2 linked regions of the Nothobranchius furzeri genome follow. The protein of the gene in region 2 purifies or fractionates together with the protein of the main gene of each other region. This does not show direct contact. Links are inferred from orthologs where the notes say so. Each region holds a gene or a part of one and is shown on either strand. Other genes may lie near its edges.

Region 1 (4,294 bases), on a different chromosome or scaffold from region 2:
AGGTGGCTCCAGCTCTACACCAGGCGTCTCTGAGTAAACTTGTGTGGCTCCCAGGCCAGCTGCATTTCTATAATGTTGGAATTTTGTCTCTACAGCAGGAAGTTGGTTTAGATAAATACTTTTAAACATTTTATAGATATAGATATGTCTACTTTAGACCTGTTTGAACAAATATATATATATATATATATATATATTTAATTTTCAAATGTGGAGTCCTCTGTTCTACATCCTCTACTCTCCCACCAATTAGCATCACATTACCATCTCATCGGCTCTGATGACCCATTTCCTGATTTTTAACCACCCCACCACTCCAAGAAGAATCTCAAAATTTCCTCTCTGCCTCCTGTCTTCTCAGAGGGTCCGTACTGTTCTACACATTTCCATTCATTCTTGCTGAAACCCTTTTATCGTACATCACACCTGACATGTTTCTCCACCTATTCCTGCTTGAACACGATTCTTCACCTCTTTTCCACACTCTACTTTGGACTATTGAACGTCCCACTCAAAAGCACTCCTGACCCCTGTGACCTTGAGTCCCTCTCATCCACACATGTGCCTTGGTGTATTATCATCATGAACTGTTGACATGTGAATCAAAGTGATACAAATAGTAATAGTATTTTGTACGTTTGCGTAAAAGAATAAAAAATACAAAATTTTGATTTCCTATAAATAAACCTGTAAGATCCAGTTTTCCTTTCACTTGAAATCATCAACGAGCTATGTCATTGTCATGTCAACCCAGTAATAAAACATTGTCCAGACTAATCTCAGCAGAAATCATTCAGATTACACATATCTGCATTGCTGTGTTTCTACAATGACTCTTCTCAGGGCAACACATGAACTGTCAACTGTTTACGTCTTTGAAGGTTTTCAAAGCTCCTTAGACTGTCAACTGTTTAATTTCTAGATCATGAATAATATTCCTACTCTTTGATAATTATGTGTTTTCTTCTGACAGCGCTCTGTTTGTTTTTTCTTTATACTGAATCTGTTATCTCCGTTTGTCTGATTTAAGTCTATTTTAAGTATTTGGACACCAGGATATATGTGTCAGAGTGAGACCTCGTCTCACCGATGTGGGGTCACACTGTTGATTTTCTTCTGGAACTTTTTATCTCTTTCTGTGTGATTATTCATTGTTTATTCGTGGTTACTTAAGTATATAAGTGCATTACTCTTAATTCATTATCCTAAACAATTAATCGTTTAGTAAATAACATCACACCGGAACCAAAACTTGTAACTATTGTGACGTCACCTCCGTCAAGGAAGTCCCTGCTCTACCCAATGTCATGTCGCCATGCTGAGAACGCTTCAGGTGTGTGTCCGTCGTCAGGTGTGGAGGAGCGTCGGTTCCGTGGCCGCTCCGGTTAGAAGGCGGCCGACGCGGGGCCCTGCCCCCGTGACAGGTCGCTCTGTGATCCGGAACGAGGTCCGAAGCTGCACCGTGGATCCAGACCTGGAGGAGCAGTTCGTATTCTTGAACTGTTTAGGTGGGTGACGTTTGTGCTGCACGATGGTGCTGCATCAGAACCCCAAAACGACTTTTATGGTTCGTTAACATGATCTAAATGTCCTGTATGTGTATATGGCGCGGTATGGGGGCCAAAATTAAGACTACTGCCCAGCAGCAGGAGGCTATATAAATTACGAAGCAAACTACCGGATCTGATTAATGATAAGCTGGCACCGGTAACTGAGAGGCTGGCGCTGCTTACTGAGAAATAGCACCTTTACCGGCGTTACTACTAGATACGCTAGGGACTAGCAGCCCTCGGCTTGTCATGACTGGATCACACACTCCCTGTACTGTTTATTAGCATGGATAGGCTAGCATTAGCCTGGACAGGCTGGTGTTAGCATCGGAGAGGCTACCGCGCCTTATTTGTATAGCGCCTTCTGGGGTTCTACAACCCCCCAAGGCGCTTTACAACACAACAGCCATTCATTCATTCACACACACATTCTTCACACACTGGTGGTGATCATTGTAGCCACAGCTGCCTTGGGGCGCACTGACAGAGGTGAGCACTGACACAACCGGTCCCTCCAACCACCCCCAGCAGGCTAGGTGTGTTAAGTGTCTTTTTAACCCTCCCACTGTCCTAATGGGTGTGACCCCGCGAGGAAAGTTGACCATTGAGCAGGATTGATGGTTTATCCCTTGCGGTCCATGTGGCAGGGGTGAGGTGGTGCTCACTCCTCACCCCTGCCACATGGACCTCAAGGGATAAACCATCTACCCTGCTCAATGGTCAACTTTCCTCGCGGGGTCACCTATAAAGACAGTGGGAGGGTTAAAGGACGTAACGACTGCAGCAGACTGGGTGGGACGCGATCTCGCATAAAGCTTAGAAGGGTCCTGAGGGGTGTGGTGATGGAGTACGTGGAGTCTGCTGTAGATGTTAGAGAGAGAAGTTCTTTCAGGTGTGTATGTGTTTTACATTCAGTCAGGGACAGGAAGCCAGTGAGGGAAAGAGACACGTGTGTTCGTGCTTCAGAGCTCTGAAGAGACGGCTCTGCAGTGGTTCCGATGAGGTCCAGTCAGGACAGAGCTGAAACTGATTCAGGATAAGTTGTAAACGTGTCTCAGGTGCTGTTTAGATGAGCCAGTGTGGAACAGGTACAGCAAGGTTTGGATCTGCAGAATCACCTTGAGTTGTTCTTGTCTGTCCTGGTCCAGACCCAGAGAAGGATCCTCATCAGGAGGAAAAGCAGCTTCTCCAACAGCTGACAGACTCCCAGACCTCTAGTGGATCTGGTCCAGATGATCCAGTACCTCCTCAGAAACACCAGAGGGGTTTGGAGCGTCAGCTTCAGGTGTTAAAGGGAGCATCTCTCCAGGAGTCGACACTGGATTCCCTCATTCAGTTCCAGGATGTGGACTTCCCGCTAAATGAGAGCATCATAAAGTCCACAAAAAAGAAGAAAAAGCCAAAAAGTGAACAGAAGATTTTTGGGACTCCGGACCAGGACGTTCCAGTTGGGGACACCTGCTGCTACGGCTGTGGTGCCATTCTGCACTGCTGTGTTCCCAGCCTGCCGGGTTACCTGCCCAGTGAGAAGTACAAGGCGCTGCTGCAGGAGGGGGGTTTAAATGGAGCCACCTGCCAGCGCTGCCACCTCATCACGTACCACCACAAAGCCCTGGATGTGCAGCTGTCCCGGGACCAGTACAGAGAAGTGGTGCAGCAGGTCCGAACCAAGAAGGCTCTGGTGCTGCTCATTGTGGACCTGCTGGACCTGCCTGACTCTATTGTGCCAGACCTGCCTGACCTGGTGGGAACCAACAAGCATGTTGTCGTCCTGGGCAACAAGGTGGACTTGTTGCCAAGAGACTCGCCCAACTACCTGCAGCGCATCAAGAAGCAACTGGGCCAGTACTGTCAGGATTCCGGGTTTGGACCTCAGGTGACCGATATCCATCTGATCAGTGCAAAGACTGGGTATGGGATCGAAACCCTGATCTCCAGCCTGCAGCGCTCCTGGAAGTACAAAGGGGACGTGTACCTGGTGGGAAGCGCCAACGTGGGCAAGTCAACGCTCTTCAACACGCTGCTGGAGTCCGATTACTGCAAGTCCAGAGCTGCTGACGTGATCCATAAAGCCACCATCTCCCCATGGCCTGGTTAGTGCCAGAACCAACTCACATTTCACCTCATTTGTTGCCTCAGATATTTTAATGGTTCTGAACCCAGTCCCTGAGCAGCACAACACATTTCACCAATCAGTCAGTTTTCAAGTTGTCTCCTCTTTCTTCTCACTCTGCTTCCTTCAGGGACCACTCTAAACCTGCTGAAGTTCCCCATCATCAACCCGACTCCGTACAGGATGTTCAGACGCCAGGAGCGCCTGAAAGAGACAAAGCAACAGGAGGAAGCGGAGCTACCACCCAAAGAGCTAAAGAGGCTACAGACGCTCCGTCGACATGGATACTTAGTGGGTAAGAGGGGTGGGGTGGGGTGGGGGGGGGGGCAGGATTACATGAGCCCCTTTTACCTGTTCACCTATCCACCTGTTCAGGTCACGTTGGACGCACATTCCTGCCCAGACAATCCAAAACAGCTGAAATCGAGTTTGACCCGGACAGTTTGGCCTTCAGCGAAGATGACGATGGAAGTTTGACAGCAACCGGTGAGCTGTGATTAGATGGAGAATCTGTGATGTCATCCACTTTGAGCAGCATTATCATGTGACAGTCAGACCATGAGGTGAAGGTGTTAATTGATCAGGTGATTGATAGATTTGTGATCAGCTGATCACAAATCAATATCTTCCA
Region 2 (4,456 bases):
TTTATTAAACGATTCCAAATGCCCCCCCCCCCCCCCCCACACACACACACACTTTCCTGTCATGTAATAATAGATTTAATTTTCCGTTTTGAAAATTTTATATCATCCCTGCCTGCATTTACAACAATCCCGCCAACAAATGTAAACAAAAACTCTGTTTACAAGGATAAAGCAAAGTCTAAACAATGCTGCTTTGTTTACCGGCTGCTGTTATCAAACAGGAAAATAATCAAACTTCCTCCTCACTTGTTTTTTTGGGGGGGAAAACGGACACAAAGAGCTCAGGAATTTGAGTTTAGAGATGTGAAAGTGAACATTTGTGTCTAAATATGTGCTTGCCTGCAGCGGTTTGTACCATGTGACCTTTTGTTCTGAGCAGACTCACTTTTAAAGTCTCCATCCTTGATGTAAGAATCCAACAGCAGGTTGAAGGTGAAGTCATCAGGGAATATTCCATACTGGACCTGTTGGAAACATTTAATATACGACATTATAATGGTCACCATCTGTGTAAGCTTAAATGATCCTTTTTGCACATTTGACATACGAATATCTCATCTCTGACGCATCCCCAGTCAAATCAGTTTTATTACCCAAATAAAAGCATGATCTTTGAGTTTTAGAAATGCAGCAGCTCATTCATAAACATGATACGTGCTTGAGTGGTAACACTGGACCCGTCTGTGGGGTAACTGCAGCTTTTAGAGTGTATCCACCCATTTCCTTACTGGTTATTCACCTGAGCATCATCTGCACTCTACAGTAACCGCCTACATCATCATTTTATAAAAACTACATTAAAACTTTTGTGGGGTGTACCTTGTTCTTAAGAGTGTGCAGGGCCTTTTCTCGGCTTCCATATTTCAGACACTGTCTGATCCAACCGTGAATGGTCCAATCTCGCAAGTACCAACAGTTCGGACTATGACGAAACCTTAGAATGCAAAAAATAAAATAAAAAATTATTGTATTCATCAATCACAGGAAGAGATTACATGCTATGCTAGTTTAAATTCACACTAGATCATTAAAATAAACACTCCCTAAACAAAGGTGTGATTGAAAACAAGTCAGTGCAAGAGGAGGTGTAGAATCCAGAGGAAGGAGAAAACAAGAAAGGTCTGGAGTTGGCTCCGATAAAGAGAACCGTGTGACTGAACATAAAACAGAACGACAACGCAGTCCAAGAACACACAAGAAACAAGGGAGCAGCTGAGATTCAGCACAGACACAGAATAAGCAGAAGCGGTCCCTCGTACTTATACAGGTAATACTCCGCTTGGTCCACTTCCTCCTTAGATGATATGTTGTCAACAAACTGAAACACAGAGAAAAAAAGGGTTACTTCAAATGTTTCGTTTGCTATATAAAAAAACACAAAGCAAATGAGTGACCTGGATGTAAATGCAACTTACCCGTGAAATGGTCAGCGAGCTGACCGGAAGGTTCCTGTCGTACGTTCGGTCCATCAGATCGGCTAGAACAGCTGGAGGTCAGAAAGATTAGGGTCACGAGAAATCAAACATTGTTTATTCAGAATAAAAAGACTGCAACACATGACATGAAGAAAGTGACTCAACAAAAATGGGGATTTAATCCATTAATTTTACGTTTAAAAAATAAATCAAAGGTGCAAATTTAATTTAATATCTGTCAGCTTTCAATTAACACCACCAAGGCGCTGCAGTGCCACCTGGTGGTCATACAGTACAACAGCAGCAACACCTGCTGCTGGCAATAATCAACTAAACATAAGAATTTAATCTTCATCGAACATTTATTCATGTTGTGTTACATATCAACACGGGCAACTGAACATTTGACTTTAAATCCATGTTTACTGATCGCTGCCTTTTAAAGAAATTTAGTATTCATCTTTAGAAAGAGTAAAACTAATACACCTAATTTATTTAACAATCCAATAATTAAACTACATTTACTGTCTCTGCTCAATAAATAAATTATAGGAAAAAAACAACAACAAAGACACCAGCTTCAGCCCACTTCCGTCCATTTCTGCACAAATGTTGCCATTTTTGGCTCAACTAAATCTTTTTAATAACTTTGGTCTCATAATTGGAGTTTTACACAAAAAATATCCACAATTTTGATAAATAAATCCGACGTTCGCATATTAAATGGGGTTACATCTTAATCAAAGGTACAACAAAAGTCAATAGGTGCCAATTATCGGAGTAACTGCTTAGTTACTGTTTTTGTTATTGACAAAAAATATTTTATAGTTCCAGGTTAATCCTCAGTAAAGTTTTTATATTAATTTAACAATTATTAGATGGTGGTGGAACACCTGACATGATGTCCTTGTTGTTTTCTTATGCTTTACACATATGAAGAGGACAGTCTTGAAGCGGTTGAAATGTTGTTCACTGTAAAAGACCAGGTAATCTCCGTAATCCAGACAATCCAGGTGGGCTTTTAGATTATTCATTTATAACTTACCCAGATTCTGTGGGTCTTTTTCTCGCGCCTCCCACAGTTTGGTGTCTGTGTAAGCTGGAGACAGCAACCATCGTTTGGCTACAAAAAAAGACGAACCGATTTAGCATCTCGTTAACTAACAACCAGGAACACGTTCGGTTTATTCTAAATCTGAAACTCTGAAACACCAAGAGGAAAAACATGAATTATCAAATTTCCTGTAGGTTGCAGGAAGGCGCGTTTACCTGTAAGAGACGGAGATACACGTTTAACTTTCAAGGCTGCTTTTACACATCGATTAAACACGGAGGCCGCCATGTTTGACAGGAAACAGAAGTACGTTCTTCTTCTCTGATTGTAACAGTTGTCGGTCAAAGGGACAATACCGCCACCTTCTGCCTCGAATCAGACACTTCTTCTTCTTCTTCTTCTTCTTCTTCTTCTTCTTCTTCTTCTTCTTCTTCTTCTTCTTCTTCTTCTTCTTCTTCTTCTTCTTAATTTTAAAGTGCACAAATATACATTTAGGTGTAACTTTTTGTTAATATATCCTTTCTCAGTAGGAAAACTCCCAATAAAATTAAGTAATTTTCATAAACAATCTTTGTTATGTCGGAATCTTATCTTTAAACACAACTTCTCTCCTCACAATTGTATTATTTGGAACAATACACACATAGTATGTCAAAACAAAACACCCTTTCTACAAAATTGGTCATTAAGTAATGTAAACACTGTGAATAATCTATTAAATACTAATGGTGAAATATTATCGCACAAAGACTTCATAGAAAAATATAATATTAAGACTTCAAAAGAAGAGTATAACATCTATCCCTGTTAGTATCTTTTCTTTAGCAGAGACCATACAATCAAACATTATCTTATCTGCAGCAGTCAGACCTCCAACTATTTCTGGGATCTTAATTACAGATAAGAAATGTAATAATTCTGTTATTAGAAAAGTAATTGACCCCGTATCAACACCGATATGTAAACACCGATGGACTTTAATGAATGCAAAACCATGGAACAGGATCTTTCTGCTTCCTCACCAATACATGATTGTGAATAAGATAAAAGAAGTCTTGTTCAAAGTTGTACACAGATATTACCCGTCAAAAGCGAACATCTGTATTTTTTTCCCAAATGTCTCTGACATCTGTACTTTTTGTGGTTGTAAGGGAGAAACGATTGAGCAAATTTTTGTTGATTGTTTTGATGTAACATTATTTTGGTTCCATCTACAAACATCGTCGTCGTCGTCTTCCTCCGCTTATCCGGGTCCGGGTCGCGGGGGCAGCATCCCAACTAGGGAGCTCCAGACCGTCCTCTCCCCGGCCACCTCCACCAGCTCCTCCGGCAGGACCCCAAGGCGTTCCCGGACCAGATTGGAGATGTAACCTCTCCAACGTGTCCTGGGTCGACCCGGGGGCCTCCTGCCGGCAGGACACGCCCGAAACACCTCCCCAGGGAGGCGTCCAGGAGGCATCCTGACCAGATGCCCAAACCACCTCAACTGACTCCTTTCGATCCGGAGGAGCAGCGGTTCTACTCCGAGTCCCTCCCGAATGCCCGAGCTCCTCACCCTATCTCTAAGGCTGAGCCCGGCCACCCTACGGAGGAAACTCATGTCGACCGCTTGTATCCGCGATCTCGTTCTTTCGGTCATTACCCAAAGCTCATGACCATAGGTGAGGATTGGGACGTAGATCGACCGGTAAATCGAGAGCCTGGCTTTCTGGCTCAGCTCCCTCTTCACCACGACAGATCGGCTCAGCGTCCGCATCACTGCAGACGCCGAACCAATCCGCCTGTCGATCTCCCGATCCCTCCTACCCTCACTCGTGAACAAGACCCCGAGATACTTAAACTCCTCCACTTGAGGTAGGACCTCTCCCTCCAAAAAATATATTTCCAAAAATATATTTTTAAGCAAATTTGAAATACTCCTTATTGTTACTAACCCTCATCTATCATCCAATGAAAAATATATAATTAATTTGATAATTATTTTAGC

Evidence for each region.
Region 1: the proteins of mrps27 (region 2) and noa1 purify together in Homo sapiens (co-immunoprecipitation; 3 studies listed by BioGRID and IntAct, counting the BioPlex papers as one, with this or other methods). This does not show direct contact. The link is inferred for Nothobranchius furzeri from reciprocal best matches to the Homo sapiens genes MRPS27 and NOA1.

Annotation. Positions count from the first base shown.
Region 1 is NC_091741.1:64,625,759-64,630,052, reverse strand, and holds the start of noa1 (nitric oxide-associated protein 1), read left to right. Parts: upstream 1-1,270; 5' UTR 1,271-1,315; coding exon 1,316-1,508; intron 1,509-2,698; coding exon 2,699-3,643; intron 3,644-3,793; coding exon 3,794-3,958; intron 3,959-4,038; coding exon 4,039-4,149; intron 4,150-4,294. UniProt on the Homo sapiens protein: Involved in regulation of mitochondrial protein translation and respiration. Plays a role in mitochondria-mediated cell death. May act as a scaffolding protein or stabilizer of respiratory chain supercomplexes. Binds GTP.
Region 2 is NC_091757.1:53,262,728-53,267,183, reverse strand, and holds the start of mrps27 (small ribosomal subunit protein mS27), read right to left. Parts: upstream 2,833-4,456; 5' UTR 2,758-2,832; coding exon 2,685-2,757; intron 2,539-2,684; coding exon 2,461-2,538; intron 1,487-2,460; coding exon 1,416-1,486; intron 1,319-1,415; coding exon 1,260-1,318; intron 935-1,259; coding exon 820-934; intron 465-819; coding exon 386-464; intron 1-385. UniProt on the Homo sapiens protein: RNA-binding component of the mitochondrial small ribosomal subunit (mt-SSU) that plays a role in mitochondrial protein synthesis. Stimulates mitochondrial mRNA translation of subunit components of the mitochondrial electron transport chain.